Linked DNA regions of Drosophila melanogaster. The gene in region 2 interacts genetically with the main gene of each other region. Each region holds a gene or a part of one and is shown on either strand. Other genes may lie near its edges.

Region 1 (4,827 bases), on a different chromosome or scaffold from region 2:
CCGATGGCTTGTTGCATTTGCCTAAGCAGCCATTGTTGCCTTTTCGAATTGCTGCGACTGTTGCTGCGACTGTTGCAGTTGCTTTGTTGCACTTCGGGACAGTCGTCAAAGTGATCGTGGTTGTCGTCTGCATCGTTGCTGCCATGTAGGTAATTCCTGGAAGTTAATTTCATTAAGAGCAACTAGCAATGCGCGGCGTATTTATTAGCCACACGATATATTGTATGGGCCATGGCTTTGTTTTTCAAGGAATCTGCCGCCTGGCTGTTCCATGCATTTGTGGAATTCATCATCGGCGGCGACTGGCGGTCGTGGCGGCCGTGGCAGCCGTGGCAGCAACATCCCCAGCACAACTGGCATTTCCCCCGAGCCACTGATGTTGCAATTTTCATAACTTATTGCTGGCATGCAAGTCAGACCCGGATCCGGTCGCGCTTGTTACCGCTAAATATGGCGCGAAATTTCCTTAAGAAAATAAAGAAATACGCGCAAGTGCGATTTCCAGTTAATAAAATTAAACAGCCCAACTCGGGCAAGGATTTTAAAATAACGCACACCGGCCGCCGAGCCGACTTGTAAAATTCTTATTAATTCTGATTGCAAGGCATTGCAAGGATCGCAGATCAGATCGCAGCAGGAACAATTTAGCTCAGATAAGAGCTGCGCTTGCCTGGTTGCCATTGCGCCTACATTTGGTCAGAGTCATGCCGACAAGTGTTGTACACGCATTCCAGATACTTTTCCATCATTAGCCGATCGTCGTTTGCTGCTGTTTCTTGATCCAATCTGGGCAAACACCTGCCACAAGTGGAGCGCAGTGAATCGAAAGCCGTTTGGAGAAAAAACATCAGAGCAAGTGTTCAACTGTGGAGATTCCCTGCAAGTGGGCTTTATTTGAACACGGATAACACGCAGCTTAAATGCTAGTCAAACTCAAGCTCAAGTTACATCAAAACAAGATTCATACAAAGACCGCGGCGGCAGTCTTGTTTACAAAACATATCCAACATGGTATACAAACTAGATTACAAATTCGAAATAAGAACAATGATGCGCCGGTCAGTAGAATATGTAATAAACGCCGATTAACAAAAGGACGAGGAGTACAATGAACAGCTTCGACTTGATGTGATACTTCTGCTCCAGGCTGTTCAACCAACGGTTAAAGGCCTCGGATACGCTGTTATCATTCGGGCGCAAGGAGCGCCTGGCACGCGGCTCATAGCCGAGAGAACCGCTACCCGCGTTTCCACTGGCCAGAGTGCGTCTGGAATACGGGCTGATGCGATCTCCAATCCGTTCGGCTCGCAAACGAGCTAGATTCCTGGCAAATGTGCTTTCGTACTGGTCTTCCTTGGAATCAGTGTCGTCGCTCAGCTCGTTAGCATAGGTACGCTTGTAGCTGGATGAGTAGGAGGCCACCGGCGGAGCCTCTGCAGTCACATAGCCTTGGGCTGCAGTACGCACAAAACTGCTATAGCGACCGGGTGCTGGGTTGCTCGCATAGTCATAGGACCTGGTGGAACTGGTGGTCTGCGCTCTGGCAGATGGCACAGATGGCGGCAGCACGGGAGCTGCTGTCGCTTCATAGACCTGTCGGCGTGGAGGCTCCACAACCTTGCTTTTGTACTCGTACGTAGTGGTGCCGCTGCTTGCGAGCTTCGTGGTCTTCTGTCTGGCCGCGTGCTCCTGCTCCACCAGATCTGCAGCCTGGACTAGCTGCTCGTCCTCTTCTTCATCGGACTCTAGGACAATCAGGGAGTTGACCTTAAGATAATTCTCCTCTCGATCAGCGCGCTTCGAGGAAGCCGGTTGCTCAACAATGGTTTCTGGCTTCCTCAAGGGCTCCACTACTTTCCTTTCAGACCCCGAGGAGGTGGAAGTGCGCCGGGTCTGTACGGGTTGAGCAGCAGGAGCAGTTGTTGGCTTCCTGGCGGCAACGGGCTCCTCGGATCGTAGGCGGTCGGCTTCGTCGGGGCGTCGGCGTATAGCTTCCTCGGGTAATCGACGCACTGGTTCCTTGGCCTCTGCAGCGGTAATTGTGCGCCGAGCCTTTGTGGCGGGCGCCACCTTGTTGCCATCCAGCTTGTCCACCGGCGTGGAGGCTGCCGCCGGAGCAGATGGTGCACCAGGTGCGGGAGCCAGGGTCTCCCGCCTGTTGGTCTTCTTGGGACTAGCGGCCGGCGACGCCTGGCCACCAATGGAGGCGCGCAGACGCTTTACTAGAACCTTCCGGCTGCTATCCGTCACGGGGATGTTGGGCAGCCCCTGTGCCAGCATCTTGGCGCGCAACTCAGCATTGGACAGAGAATCAAAATCGTCCACATCGGCCATTGTATGGTTTTTCGCACACTTTTAATAATTCGTTGAAAATTGAAATCGGCGTCGCTTTTACGCGGTGTGTGCTAAAATAGTGATGGCAGCAGTATTACCTATCGATGATTCTGTTTTAGGGGATATACAACACTGAAGTGGGCTTGACTTGTAACAGTTTTGGCGTTTTAAAAAAAGGGAACACAAGGAATGATGTTTCATACTAATCATCGCACACATCGCAAAATCGTGCAAACGTAATAAAACATCTATGCTATATTATTATATCGTTATTTACGTTAGATATTGGCAAATGAAACAGTGATCCAAGAGTCGCAGTTTAGCTCACCTCTGTTTCGATAACTTATCGATATCGATTGCGCTCCAATGGACTAAAAACTAAAACACAAATCAACAAAAGCAAAAATTGAAGTGAAAATATAAGCTATTACAATTTACATATTACATACAATTTACATATAAGTACGAAAAAACTTTCCTGGGCCGGAAACAGATTCGAAAACAAAGGAGCAAACACCCACATATTTGAAGAGGATTAATCATGGACATCTCAAAGGCACCAAATCCGCGAAAACTGGAGCTGTGTCGCAAATACTTCTTTGGTAAGAGTTACTACCAATGAGTAATGATTGGATTTTAACCAAGTTACTTTCTATTTGTCTCGAACTTAGCTGGCTTTGCATTTCTGCCCTTTGTGTGGGCCATTAACGTTTGCTGGTTTTTCACGGAGGCCTTCCATAAGCCACCATTTTCGGAGCAGAGCCAAATAAAGAGATGTAAGTCAATATATGAATAGATGCCCATGCCATACAGTCTAATATTCCACAATTTCTTTCCTACCTTCCTCCAGATGTTATATACTCTGCAGTGGGGACTCTATTCTGGCTGATAGTACTAACTGCCTGGATAATAATATTCCAGACAAATCGCACAGCCTGGGGCGCCACAGCGGACTATATGAGCTTCATCATACCCCTAGGCAGTGCATAGACATAACTAGATTAATTCGTTAGCAACTAATGATATTAAAAAAGACTTCATTCCTAAACAAAATTAACGTTTATTATTAATCCATCAGAAGTTCCCGTATATGACCCAAACAAAAGAAGTGCTGTTTTGATTTAATTACATATTTTTTATTCACATCTAAAGCTGTTTTTGTTTTTTATAATTTTCTGTATACTTTAAATATGTGTACTATATTTTGTTGAAATTTCTTAGCCGCTAGTTATGTGTTTTGTTCATATTCGTCCGCCCATATTTGAATGCTTGATTTAGCTTTAGTTAGCCATTTTGTGGATTACATTCTTTGCTTAGATACAATTTCATTGTTTCGAATTCAATTCAATGCGCTTTATCCATCTCTAAAATACATAATTTGTATAAAACTCTGCTTGTACCGTTGCATAAGCCATTATGGTAATTTGTTAAATCCCATTTAATTGTTTTGTTATGTTGTGTGTTTGTATCCGTGAGTCGAATGCCTCCTACGATTTGATTACAAATTGCATTAAGAATGTCAAAAAACCTAGCGACTCCTAAATGAGTGTAAGGAAAACACTCGCCGATCTACACATGAAGACATAATTCAAATTGCTATTATTCGGTAAATCGCTTGCATTTCGTTTGCGGTTAACAGCAAATGCTGCCAACACATATAGTAAATTACAATATTATGTATTAATGTTTATAACACGAACTTGGTGGCAAAGCACCTAAGCAGGGCCACCAAATCAATCAGTGGAACTAATTTACAATACAAAAGACTCGCTTTAAGGTATATTTACAATCAATACTTGTTTTATTTATAAATTCTAAAGAATCAATGTGTATTTGGGATAGGAAGCGGGATTTTTGAGGGCCAGATGGGAGCTTTCTCATTCAGTTTTTCTTTTTTTTTGGGCTTAGGCTACAGAACATTAAGTGCCATAAATCACGCGTGTAGAGTCTATGAAGCGGCTAGTGAATTACTACACACCCACATTCACATAGATAATCCTTTAATTACATATATATCTCGCCATCGTTATCATATCATATATGCAGCATATGCGTATAAATATTTAAAGTACAAATTGATGCTTAGAAACAATTAAAATTAATGTGCGGCTGCTGGCCGAAAAATTCATCGTAGTCATTCACGGAGAACTTATAAAGTAGAAACTACGGATACGAGTAGTACACACACAGATATAGATTTAGATACACATAATATATATTTATATTTATAAGAATTGAATGGGCGGCGCGCCCAATTTGTCTTTTAGATGCAAATCCCGCGCAGCTCCATCCGCAACACAGATAAGGATAATTAATACACACGCTAAATGCTAATCTTGTACGTTCTACTTGCATAATTTAATCATTTAGTTAAACAATATTCATACATTTCGATCTTTTCTTAATTTCATTTCTCGTACGTTTAGTTTTTATTTTTTTTTACAAAGAAATCAACACACTACAGTATCGAGTTTGATTCGTTTTTTTCCCTTT
Region 2 (5,514 bases):
GACTACAAGCGAGACTTACGCAAATCGGAATCTCATTATATTAATGCCGGATCTCTTTATCCGGATCTTCGAGCTTTGAAGGAATAGCGGGAAAACCAAAGGAATTTATCACATGTTATTATTATTATTATTATTATTATTATTATTATTATTATTATTATTATTATTATTATTATTATTATTATATTGAAATATTTATATGCCATTTATAGCTTCTAATTAAAAGAAAAAATATAAATAAATATTATGTTCAATAACACATAAAAAAGATATTTCGAAAGATTTTGCATCAAAACCTTATTTTAGTGTTCAAAAATGCTTTACTTTTGTATTTGTAGATAAACCGAAGCTAGAAAGTATTAAAAAGAAAAATGTTTAATTCACTTTGTATATTTGTATAACCTAAATTCTAGCTTCCTAGCACTCCAACCGCTAAGTATCGGGTATCTTTTGTTTTTAAATTAAAATGTCCTGATTTTTGATACACAACTCAGTCCTCTTTCACTAATTTAAAAGAATTAACAATTTTAGCAAGGAATTTAGTATGAACGTACCATGTAAATTGTGAACAAATGTTGATCTAAGTATCTTTAGATTGACGATCAATAAAAAGCCGTCTAATTTAGCGGCTTTAAATCCTCGTAAGTACTGTCATAGCTTCCGATCGCCTGAAGTTACAGACTTTTGAATCTTATATTGTTGAAAAGGTTATGTTATTTGCATTATTTCCTAACCATTTCCTAAGACTCTATATAGCTATCTTATTCCTTATTCTTTTTTCCTATCTTAAAAAGCACTCTGATCAAGCAAAAACTTTGCGGAACGAGTCAAATTTTATATAAACAAGTTAGGAATTTATATAACGAGCGATGAACCCCACATATATACTTTGGCGAAATATGGTAAAACTTCACGTTTTGTTTTATACACGAGATATAGAATGTGATATTCTATAGGTCCTAAGTGTCATATATCAAGGAGCCCATATATTTAGTTAGGGTTCAGCTCCCGAATCAGAACATAACATAACATGAATGACTATAACCCCTATTGTTGGTAAAACTTTCTCCTAGACTATATTTACATTTACCTTATTATAGTCCTTTTATCCTATTAATATTTATATTAGGAGAATATAGGAATATGTATACTCATATTATTGTCAAAATCATATGAATACATTTTTTTATATATATTTATTAAAAAGAATCCGTACATAATTATATTGTATCTTAGCATCACAGGGTGGAGATTTATTCTTAAGAATTACCAGTCGATATATAAAAAAAGTAAAGTAAATGAATACATTTGTTTTCAAACGTTAGCTCTCGTGCGAGTTCCATTCTGAAAATAGGAATGGGTGTTTAAATCCTCACATGATTAGTGAGAGGTTTGGTTTTATCATTTATATGTTAATTGCGCTGTTATGTTGCTATTGCTGCATTGTATGGATTCATCGCTTCTAAATAAATAAATTTAAAAAAAAGGAATGGGTGTAGCATACTTTCGGGACGCGCAATAAAAAATTATCTTGAAATTGGTTTGGTTTTAAACTCCGCCATATATCATTATATAATATTATATATTATTTGATCCCAAAGCTTCATAGATTGATCCATCAGCGTCTCGTTGATTTTTGTATGCAATACTTTACGTACTAATTCAAAAACCGAGAAAGTTGTTAATTATTTTGAAGGCTTTTCGCCGAACAACGTAACAAAAAACGTAAGAGCGTACAGAGAGACCTTGCCTGCGGACAGATAAAAATACCGCTCGTAGTCCGATTCGACCCACCTCAACTGATTCAGCTGGCCACACTCCGCCCCATTTTTATATCCACAAATTCCTACGCTCGGCAGTACGTTTTGAACTCGGCCAAAAGGAGGTGGCTAAGAGTTTAGCGCGGCACGCAAGCACATAATTCCCCGCTCGGACGTGATTTCGCCCCTTGGTACATGAATACATGTGAATGTGTACATATGTGCGCACGGGAAATAAGGCAGGAAAAGCCCAAAGCCACGGAGTTCGGATCCGAGAGTCTTGCGTTTTGTTTTGCGCAGCACTGCACCTGTGCAGTGTAAAATCGTGAATTCAGTCGAGGTGCAACTGCGGCGCTTGTGCGGTTGAGGGAGGAGAGTTGGCAGAAGTGTGTTTGTGTGTGTATGTGGGTGGGTAGTGCCTTTTATTTCCGATTTTGACGGGAGTCCAATCCACCAAGCTGAGTAGTTGCAATTACGGCGCGGCGGAAAACTGTTTTTCTCGCTCACAAATACATATGTACAACCTGTATAAACAACAACGACTGCCGTAAACAGCCAACTGCGAACGCAGCAACAACAACAGTTCTAACAACAGTACACAAGCAAACACGTTTCCCGTTTTATTTTCTGGCCCGCGTTTATTAGTGTGTGTGGGTGCGCCTCTGTGTGCGAGTGCGTATGTGTGCGTGTGTACGTGTTGCTCGCTCGAGTATAGAAATTTCTAATGATTTTTGGCCTGTTCCCGAAAAGCAGCTCCAAACAACAACAACAACAACTTTAGGACTCTGCAGTGGCTGTTCCAATTGACTCGCCATTCTTTTGAATTGTTTTTATATATGTAATTGAACGCCGAAAAACAACTGTGTAAAAAACAGCATCTGTGCCAGCAACGAACAGAGCTTCGAATTTTGTTGGTAAGTGTTTTCAGCTTCTGCACAATGAATAAAGTAAATAATAAGTGAATAAGTGATTTCAAAATCTGCATTTTGAAACCGTAAAAAGTGTAGAAAAGAAAAGTGTAAAAAGGTAGCCAATTGTCTTAGTAACGTGCTTATTTATGCAATTTGTAACTATTGGCTTGAAGTTTACATAAAAAAAGGTCCATTCGAAAAATGAAGACTAATATCTTTCCTATCTTTCCTAACGGATATCAAAAAGTAGGATTGGGTAAAACACATTTCTCTCGGAGATTTTTCTTCATTGAGCGGATCGCTTAGATCCATTCATCTGACGCAACAGTAGCAGCAAAATAACGTTGTGATGACCAGGACTAGGGATATGACCTCAAGCAGCATTCTGGGACCTGGATCATGTTGGTCAGGCGGAACTTGTAGATGGAGGCTCGTGTTCTGGAGTGAGGCTTGTGAGCTTGAGTTGTACATTCTTGCGATCCATCCACCGATCTGCTGGCTTTCGAATTTGATGTTCGACAAATGTGTCTCAAAAAAATTTCGACACCCTCGACATGCGTTTCTGTGTTGGCTTTGATAGGTTTTTTCCCCAAAACATTTTCACTTTGCATGCCAATTTTCTCACCGCTCAAACTTGCAGCACTCGGGCGCCTAGTCATTTATTTGATATCATCATTATCGTCATTGCCCGAGCTACAGGCTACAGGTTTTTAGCTAATAAGGTAATGGCAAAAAGACGGGGAAAAACGGCTGAATTATAATCGAAAGAAAAAATCCATCATTGGAAAGTTGGTTTAATTGCATTTGCGGAATGCAGCTGTCAGGGTTGCCTAGTTGTGCGACAGGGCGACGCATTTTTCGCCAGCCGCGCACTTGGCTAATATTTCAGGCTTCATGCTTCATTTGCGTTACGAGCGGACCAAGTCGACTTTCGGAGCAAACCCGGCGGCAAGGGCGTTGGACTAGATTGGATCGGGTGGATTGGATGATGAAGGTGATGGGACAGGAGAAAGGTATTTGAAAGGGCTGGAGTGGGTTACACACTCCCCGGCGATATGGAGTTCATCGTCTTCCGAACTTGAGTTTCAAAATCTAAAAAAAAAACATCTCTATGTATGTATGTATGTAAGTACTTGTGTCTCCCAAGTTCTGGTGCCTGGAAAATCGTCAAACAAATATATTTTCAAAACTTAAAAATTTTTTTTTTTTGGTTTTCGAAGGATAGCGTGCACTACCCACAAAAGGAGCAATAAATTCCTCCGGGTGACAGTGGTTGGCAATTTTTTGCAGCAATTGGCAGGGCGAGTGTGGGAGAGAGCGGTGCCGGTCGTTACACGTTACACACTTTTCCGGGGCACTTTCCCAAGCGAATATTATTTTTTCTGTGCCCTCACATGAAAATCAATTCATAATGGTGCAGGTGGGTGGCGGCTCTCATGCTTTTTTTATATTTTTCTCTATAGTGCGATTGAATGCGACAGAAAATAGTATGATCAAGAAATCATATTGTTTACACATCGGTTTTATAAATTTGGTAGTTTAATTTTTATTAGTCCAAACAAATATCGGATTATATTTTTGTTTCAAGTGTACTTTTCACTTCTTTGCACGGTGGGTATTTTCCTCATCATCTGTTTTTCGAAGAGCTTTTCCGCCGCTGCTGTTTTGTTTATGCTTTTCCCATCTCATTGTTTTTGCGCGCCTCGTGCGTCAATTTATGTGAGTTCAGTTTGCCTCAAAGACGGAAGCGGTCTTAATGGTACAAATAGGAGTAGCTGCGGCTCCAGCTAGGAAACCGGAGGAAAAGGGTGCCGTGGAAATTGGCGCCGCCGCAACTGCCCAAATGCCGCGGCTGCTCATAACTTGTTTGCCGAATAATTTCCAAAGTTGCAATTTTCATTTTATGGCCATTTGTCTTCGGTTGTTTTGTCTGCCGGTTGGGGCACATTCGAAGCCCGGTTTTGCTTTTTTTTTTTCGTGGCTCATTTTGTTTTGTAATCAGAATTACATAGAGGGAAACATTTCATTTTCATTTGCTAACTAAGTTGGTCTCTCTTTCGGACCGCTCTGTAATCGGGTAAATGAAATCCAGATCAGTGGCGAAATTACAAATTTGTTCCATTTTGTTCTAAACATACTCGCATTTCGTAAGTTAAAATTTTCATACATTAGTTTCAAAAGCTAGAAATATAATGAGAATCTTAGAAATAAAGCGATTGTCATGTAATTACATGATACTAGAGTACCTTATCCAAATCAGACTGACTTGTTTTAAGCCATCTTGTGCTTGACATACACATGCTCAACTCTTCCCTTTTGGGAGGTGCTATCTGGTATCCGATTTCGTAACCAATTCGGCCCGAGTCCGGCTCTTTCATAACAATAACCAAAAGCACTTGTCACTGCCATCTGCTGCCGGCAACTTCGCCGTGGCCACCCATATGGGCCCAGTTTGGGCTCGTCGCCTACCTGTTTCACCGGGCAGTGTGAGTGATACTTGTGCAATTATTGTACAAACTCATAGTGTCCACTCTTTCAAGCGAGTGTATGTGAGTAGAGTGGTAGAACCCCTGGACTCTCGGACAGGTTGTTCAGAAAAGCGAATGGTTTTGTTCCACGCCGAACGCCTCATGTCTTTCGTCGTCGACGGAAATCTGAAACAATGGAGGTAGAGAAGACGCTCTGAACGCATTGGTGGCACAGCCAGCTTATTAACTTACCTGTTATTTCAACCATTTCCATTTTCTCACGCACGCAGGCCTGGAAAATGGAAACTGCACTTGCCTGTGTCTGCATTGGGTGATTTTAGGCGCACTGAAAAAAATTGTTCTATGTCTGAATAT
Region 3 (4,756 bases), 4.9 Mb from region 2:
GCTGGTTAACGCAGAGCAAGCGCGTGAGGAGAAGCATTTTGCCGAGTGCATAGCCGCCGGAGAGGCAGTCCTGCGTAACGAGCCGGAGGAGACGATGATCCGGTATGAGGGACACAAGGTGCTCTGCACTTGCTACACGGGCGACGAGCAGTTTGGCAAGGCTTTGCAACAGTGCAAGGAGGCACTGGATATTATGAAGGATGCTCAGGTCTACTGTGATCGTGCTGACGCATTGCTGGGCACCGAAATGTACGACGATGCCATACACTCCTTCCAAGCAGCTCTCGACCTGGAAGAGAGCAACACCCGCGCTAAAGAAGGCATCCAGAGGGCAAAGAAGCTGCAGAAGCAGTCAGAGCGCAGGGATTACTATAAGATATTAGGCGTTAAGCGTAGCGCCAGCAAACAGGAGATTGTGAAGGCCTACAGGAAGGCGGCGCAAAAGTGGCATCCGGACAACTTCCGCGACGAGGAAAAGAAGGTGGCCGAGAAAAAGTTTATTGACATTGCCGCAGCCAAGGAGGTTCTCACGGATCCCGAGAAGCGTCGTCAATTCGACAACGGCGAGGATCCATTAGATCCTGAGAGCAATCAGCGTGGCGGCTTCCATGGCGAACATCCGTTTGGACACTTCCAACACGGGTCGCCGTTCCAGTTCAAGTTCCACTTCAATTAGTCAGCCAGCAGCCATTTGCTTTGTGATGTCCTAGCCGCGATCCCCGATATCCTTTAACGATTTTACACTGTTTTGTTCATTTAAATGGCGTGTAAATAGTAGCATAAAGCATAAATAAACCCATGGTCCGTTGTCAGAGAGTACCACAAACAAACACAAATCGCAACAAAACACACTGAGCACTTACATTTAATTAGTTTATTTAATACAATACAATAATTATAATGTAGTACATTTTTCTAATTATGTATAAAAAGAAACAATATGCGAGAACAAGCAATTAAAGACTTGGCAAATTGAGTTGAATATTTGTTAGTTTTGAACATGTTTGGAATTGAAGTAGTAGTCTTAAGGTGCAAAGTCGTCATAAATATTCCTTCGCTGTAGTCTGTGGTTGAAATGCGTGGAGTAACCAAAACCAAATGTATTCCGCGATATGAACGCTTCTCAGGCGTTGGGTGTCAATACCACGTACACCATGGTGGCCAGCATCACTGACACTACCAATATTAAGTAGAATTTGAGATTATATTTTTGATCCAATGACACCGCCAGTGCACGGAACTGCGCCATAGGCGAAACCTGATCGTGGTGTCTTACCAGAGGTTTTCTAGCCAGCGGCGAGAAGCGATTCTTTTGGAAATGGCTATTGATGGGTACTTCCTCGACTTCGGACTCGCTCTCCGTCTCCATGGGTTCGCCTGCGTCATTCGGCTGATCGTAGAATTCATTTAGTTGTGGATATAGAGTGTTTACTGCGGTGGTCGGCTGGAGCAGGCGACCACGGGCCAGATTGGATCCACTAACTGGAACACTCTGTCGCTGGCGAATGGGTGCTGGAGCTGGTGCTGGGCCACCAAAAGGCCTAGCGGATCCGCTGAAAGTGTTTCTTGGCGAAATGGGTGAAAGTTTTGGATTGTACGTAGATGACTCCTCGTAGCTGGTTGAGTTTAAGTTGGTTTGAGTCAGCAGGGGACGCGAAAAACCCAAATCTGTGGGTCTGTATGTCGAAGGTTCGATGCGTGGCTCGTATGTGGGAAGTGCGTGAAGAGTGGCGGCTGGCACATGGGGTCTTTCGTAGGTGTAGCTGCGTGGTATATCCTCCTGTTCGTACAGCGGCTGGTCAACTTCGCGTGTGTAAGATGTGGTCAAAACTCCGGATTTGGCTAGAGAAACATAACGTCTAGGCTGCTGGTCCTTGGAGTAATTAGGCACCGGAGAGTCCACCATGTAGGAGTCGTCGTCCTCCGACTGGGAGCTCATATCCGACACCGTGGTAGTAGTCTGCACAGATCTTCCCGAGATCGAGGTGTTGTCTAGTCCATAGGCGATTGTGCGACGACTTTGTTCGCTGATCTTGTTGTTGTTGCTGCTAGTGCGTCCTGCACTCTTGCCGGGCGTACGACGCACTGGCTCCGATGTGGGCGTCGTTACCTGGCTGCCGTGTACGGTCTCACGCCTCGGAATCGCTTTCTTACTTGCAGATTTGCTTTTGTTCAGCGGAACCCCGGTGATTTTGGCCTTTAGTCGGCGAATTATGACGCTGCGGGTGCTGTCCGTCACGGGAACACCGGGCAGGCCGTGCTCCAGGCACTTGGCCAGCAGCTCCTTGTTGCCCAACGTGTCCAGGTAAGAAAGGTCCGACATTATTTTCCGCCGTGGTGAAACTCAAAACACACAAAAATAGCAATGTCGTCACAATGTTGTCTATTAGTGATGGAACGGCAGCGATAGAATGTTCAATCTAAGTGCACGCCTATCGATTGCTGCTAAAGTAATGTTGTTTGACAAACTATAGCTAGATTTCATATGCTGGATGAGCTGTGCACGAAAGTAAAAACAATTTTTTAACATCAGACAGAAGAACAAACTACTTGAAGAAAAACTTAACTCGATATTTTATGTGCAATCGCCTCATGTGCAGTGTTATAAAATGCCTACAACTAAACATTTACAGCAGTGCTGCCAGACCTGGTTGGATACGCTTGCTATGGTTTATTTCAACTAACGCCCGACGGTCACACAGTTAGTTTTATGAAAATCGAACGCGCAACAGGTGTTCAATCGCAAACAAGACGCTCGAATTAAACGAATCGCCGCGCGGAAAGCGCTCGCCAAGCCAAAGAAAATCCCCAAGTCGCAGTGCGGAAAACTGAGGAGATATAGCATCGTAACATAAACAGTGGATTGTGGAAAAACAATCGTGAATCATTTGCACCTGTTTGGCGGCCAATATTTCTTCACCTTTTTGCTTTTCTGCGCCTGCGTGTGTGCCTCACTTCGCTTATTACACTTTTGTTTACCTCAATCGCGGGTGTTATTAAAGTTTTTGGCATCGATTTCGAGTAGCAAAGCAAGTGGCTGGAAACATTCGACAATTTGCTGGCTGCAATTGCAGCATATTTTCCATTTAGCCAAGCAAGAGCAAGGGAAACAAAAACAGCAACAACAGCAGCAGTAGAAGCAGCAGCATAAACATAAACCAAAAAACCGGTTAAAGCGGACAAGAGCGAGAAAGGCGCCCCAAAAAAGAGCAAGCGGGACAAAAACAAACACATAAAACGTGAAAAACAACAACGAATCAAAGTAGATATAAATACTAAACGAAAAAAAAAATATCCTCGTATTTGGGTTTTTGTTTTTTTGTTAAGCGCAAACAGAAAATAAGTGCGTTTGTTCTTTGTTTAAACGTGTTGACATCGTGTTTTCCCTGTAAAATTCCTTATCGGCCGATCGAATCGAAAGTGAACGAGTAATTGCCTTTCTGGTATTTGGTTTATTACATTTCGATATTGCTATTGCCCAAACTCAAACTCTGCGCGTGGCCTCCTTCTTATCGGCAGTCCAGTTCACCAGTCTACTCCACCAGAAGAACTACCTGTTGCCGCAACAATTAACACCAGGTGAGCAATAAAACCAACCCTTTTTACACTTCTGCAGCTTAGAATGCCCAATAGGACCGACCACCGGGTATTCTTTAAATATTGTTTACGTTGCACTTATAACGAATTCCAAGGAATGTACTCACAAAGAGCATTTGAACAATTGTATTCATGAAGATATATTTACTCATAATTAAGAATTCATCTAAAAAGAAGCATCGGGGGTTGCAAGGAAGAAATGGGGTTTCAAACTAAATGTTAATATCAGTGATTTAGGCACATACATATTTGGTGCTATTTTTGGAGTGGCTTGTACATGTGAATTTGCTGATTTCAAGTAGCTCCAAATGTTATTTATTGTTACCAATATAATTTGTGTTGGGCATTTCATTCTATTCAGTCGGTCATTGCCTATATTTGGTATTGCTTGATAGCCAAGTCACGTGAGAGGCCTTCCATCGATAAACCAAATCACAATTGTTAACAAAAGATTAGCCCCATGCCCATGACATTAGGCAACCCAAATTGGGGGAATTGGGGAATTCGCCACCGCAGTTCATTGACACAACCTTTGGCTGCTGTTTTCAGCTGTTTTTGCTGTTGAACCCGCTTAACTTTCACTGCAAACGCGGCTGGCCCAAAAGCGGCATAAATCAGCACGAAAACAACACACGCGACAAGAAAATGTTGTAAATGCCAAAATTGAAATGCAGTCGCAGGTTAATAAAATCAAATTTGTTGCCCGCTTTTGTTTTCTCGTTTTCATCGCTCGTTTTCCATTGCCATTTCCATTTCCATCTCCATTTCCATTTTGATTTAATTTAATTTTACTTATGTAATCCCTGGTTAATTTCCAAGCATCATTAAGCCGCGAAGAAAGAGTCTCTTTTGCGCCAGCAAACTGAAGCACACGAGCGAATGATTATGAGATAATCAGTAAATTGCACAAGACCAAATGAAGTCATGAGAGTTGAGTGGATTGTCGAGTGGGATTCAACTCGAATTGAATCGAATCGAATTGCATCGTATCGATGGAGCTCCAATTTGACACTAAATTGGAATGAGATAACAGATTCGAAAATGATTTATCTCTATCAATATGGCATAAAACGGCTTGGCGTGCAGCTCAACTTGGTTTTAGCCATTTTCATTTCTTAGGAAGCCGTAGTTGTTTGAAAATTTCCCAATACCCCATTCA

What was found.
Region 1: of smash (region 2) and Ote, changing one enhances a phenotype caused by changing the other (phenotypic enhancement), as found in Drosophila melanogaster (one study listed by BioGRID).
Region 3: of smash (region 2) and bocks, changing one enhances a phenotype caused by changing the other (phenotypic enhancement), as found in Drosophila melanogaster (one study listed by BioGRID).

Annotation. Positions count from the first base shown.
Region 1 is NT_033778.4:18,274,746-18,279,572, forward strand, and holds Ote (otefin), read right to left. Parts: upstream 2,433-4,827; 5' UTR 2,335-2,432; coding exon 1,060-2,334; 3' UTR 862-1,059; downstream 1-861. Other genes in the region: pen-2 (presenilin enhancer), read left to right, coding at 2,876-2,936, 3,006-3,110, 3,185-3,324. UniProt on the Drosophila melanogaster protein: Inner nuclear membrane protein. Involved in the attachment of membrane vesicles to chromatin during nuclear assembly, and is probably required for centrosome maturation and cell cycle progression during mitosis.
Region 2 is NT_033777.3:4,657,726-4,663,239, forward strand, and holds the start of smash (smallish), read left to right. Parts: upstream 1-1,853; 5' UTR 1,854-2,674; intron 2,675-2,801; exon of another isoform or gene 2,802-3,214; intron 3,215-5,514. Other genes in the region: spartin, read left to right, coding at 1-87.
Region 3 is NT_033777.3:9,588,607-9,593,362, forward strand, and holds bocks (bocksbeutel), read right to left. Parts: upstream 2,397-4,756; 5' UTR 2,324-2,396; coding exon 1,124-2,323; 3' UTR 862-1,123; downstream 1-861. Other genes in the region: P58IPK, read left to right, coding at 1-676. UniProt on the Drosophila melanogaster protein: Inner nuclear membrane protein. May have a role in maintaining the structural integrity of the nuclear lamina. During pupal development, plays essential and redundant functions with the other LEM domain proteins; MAN1 and Ote.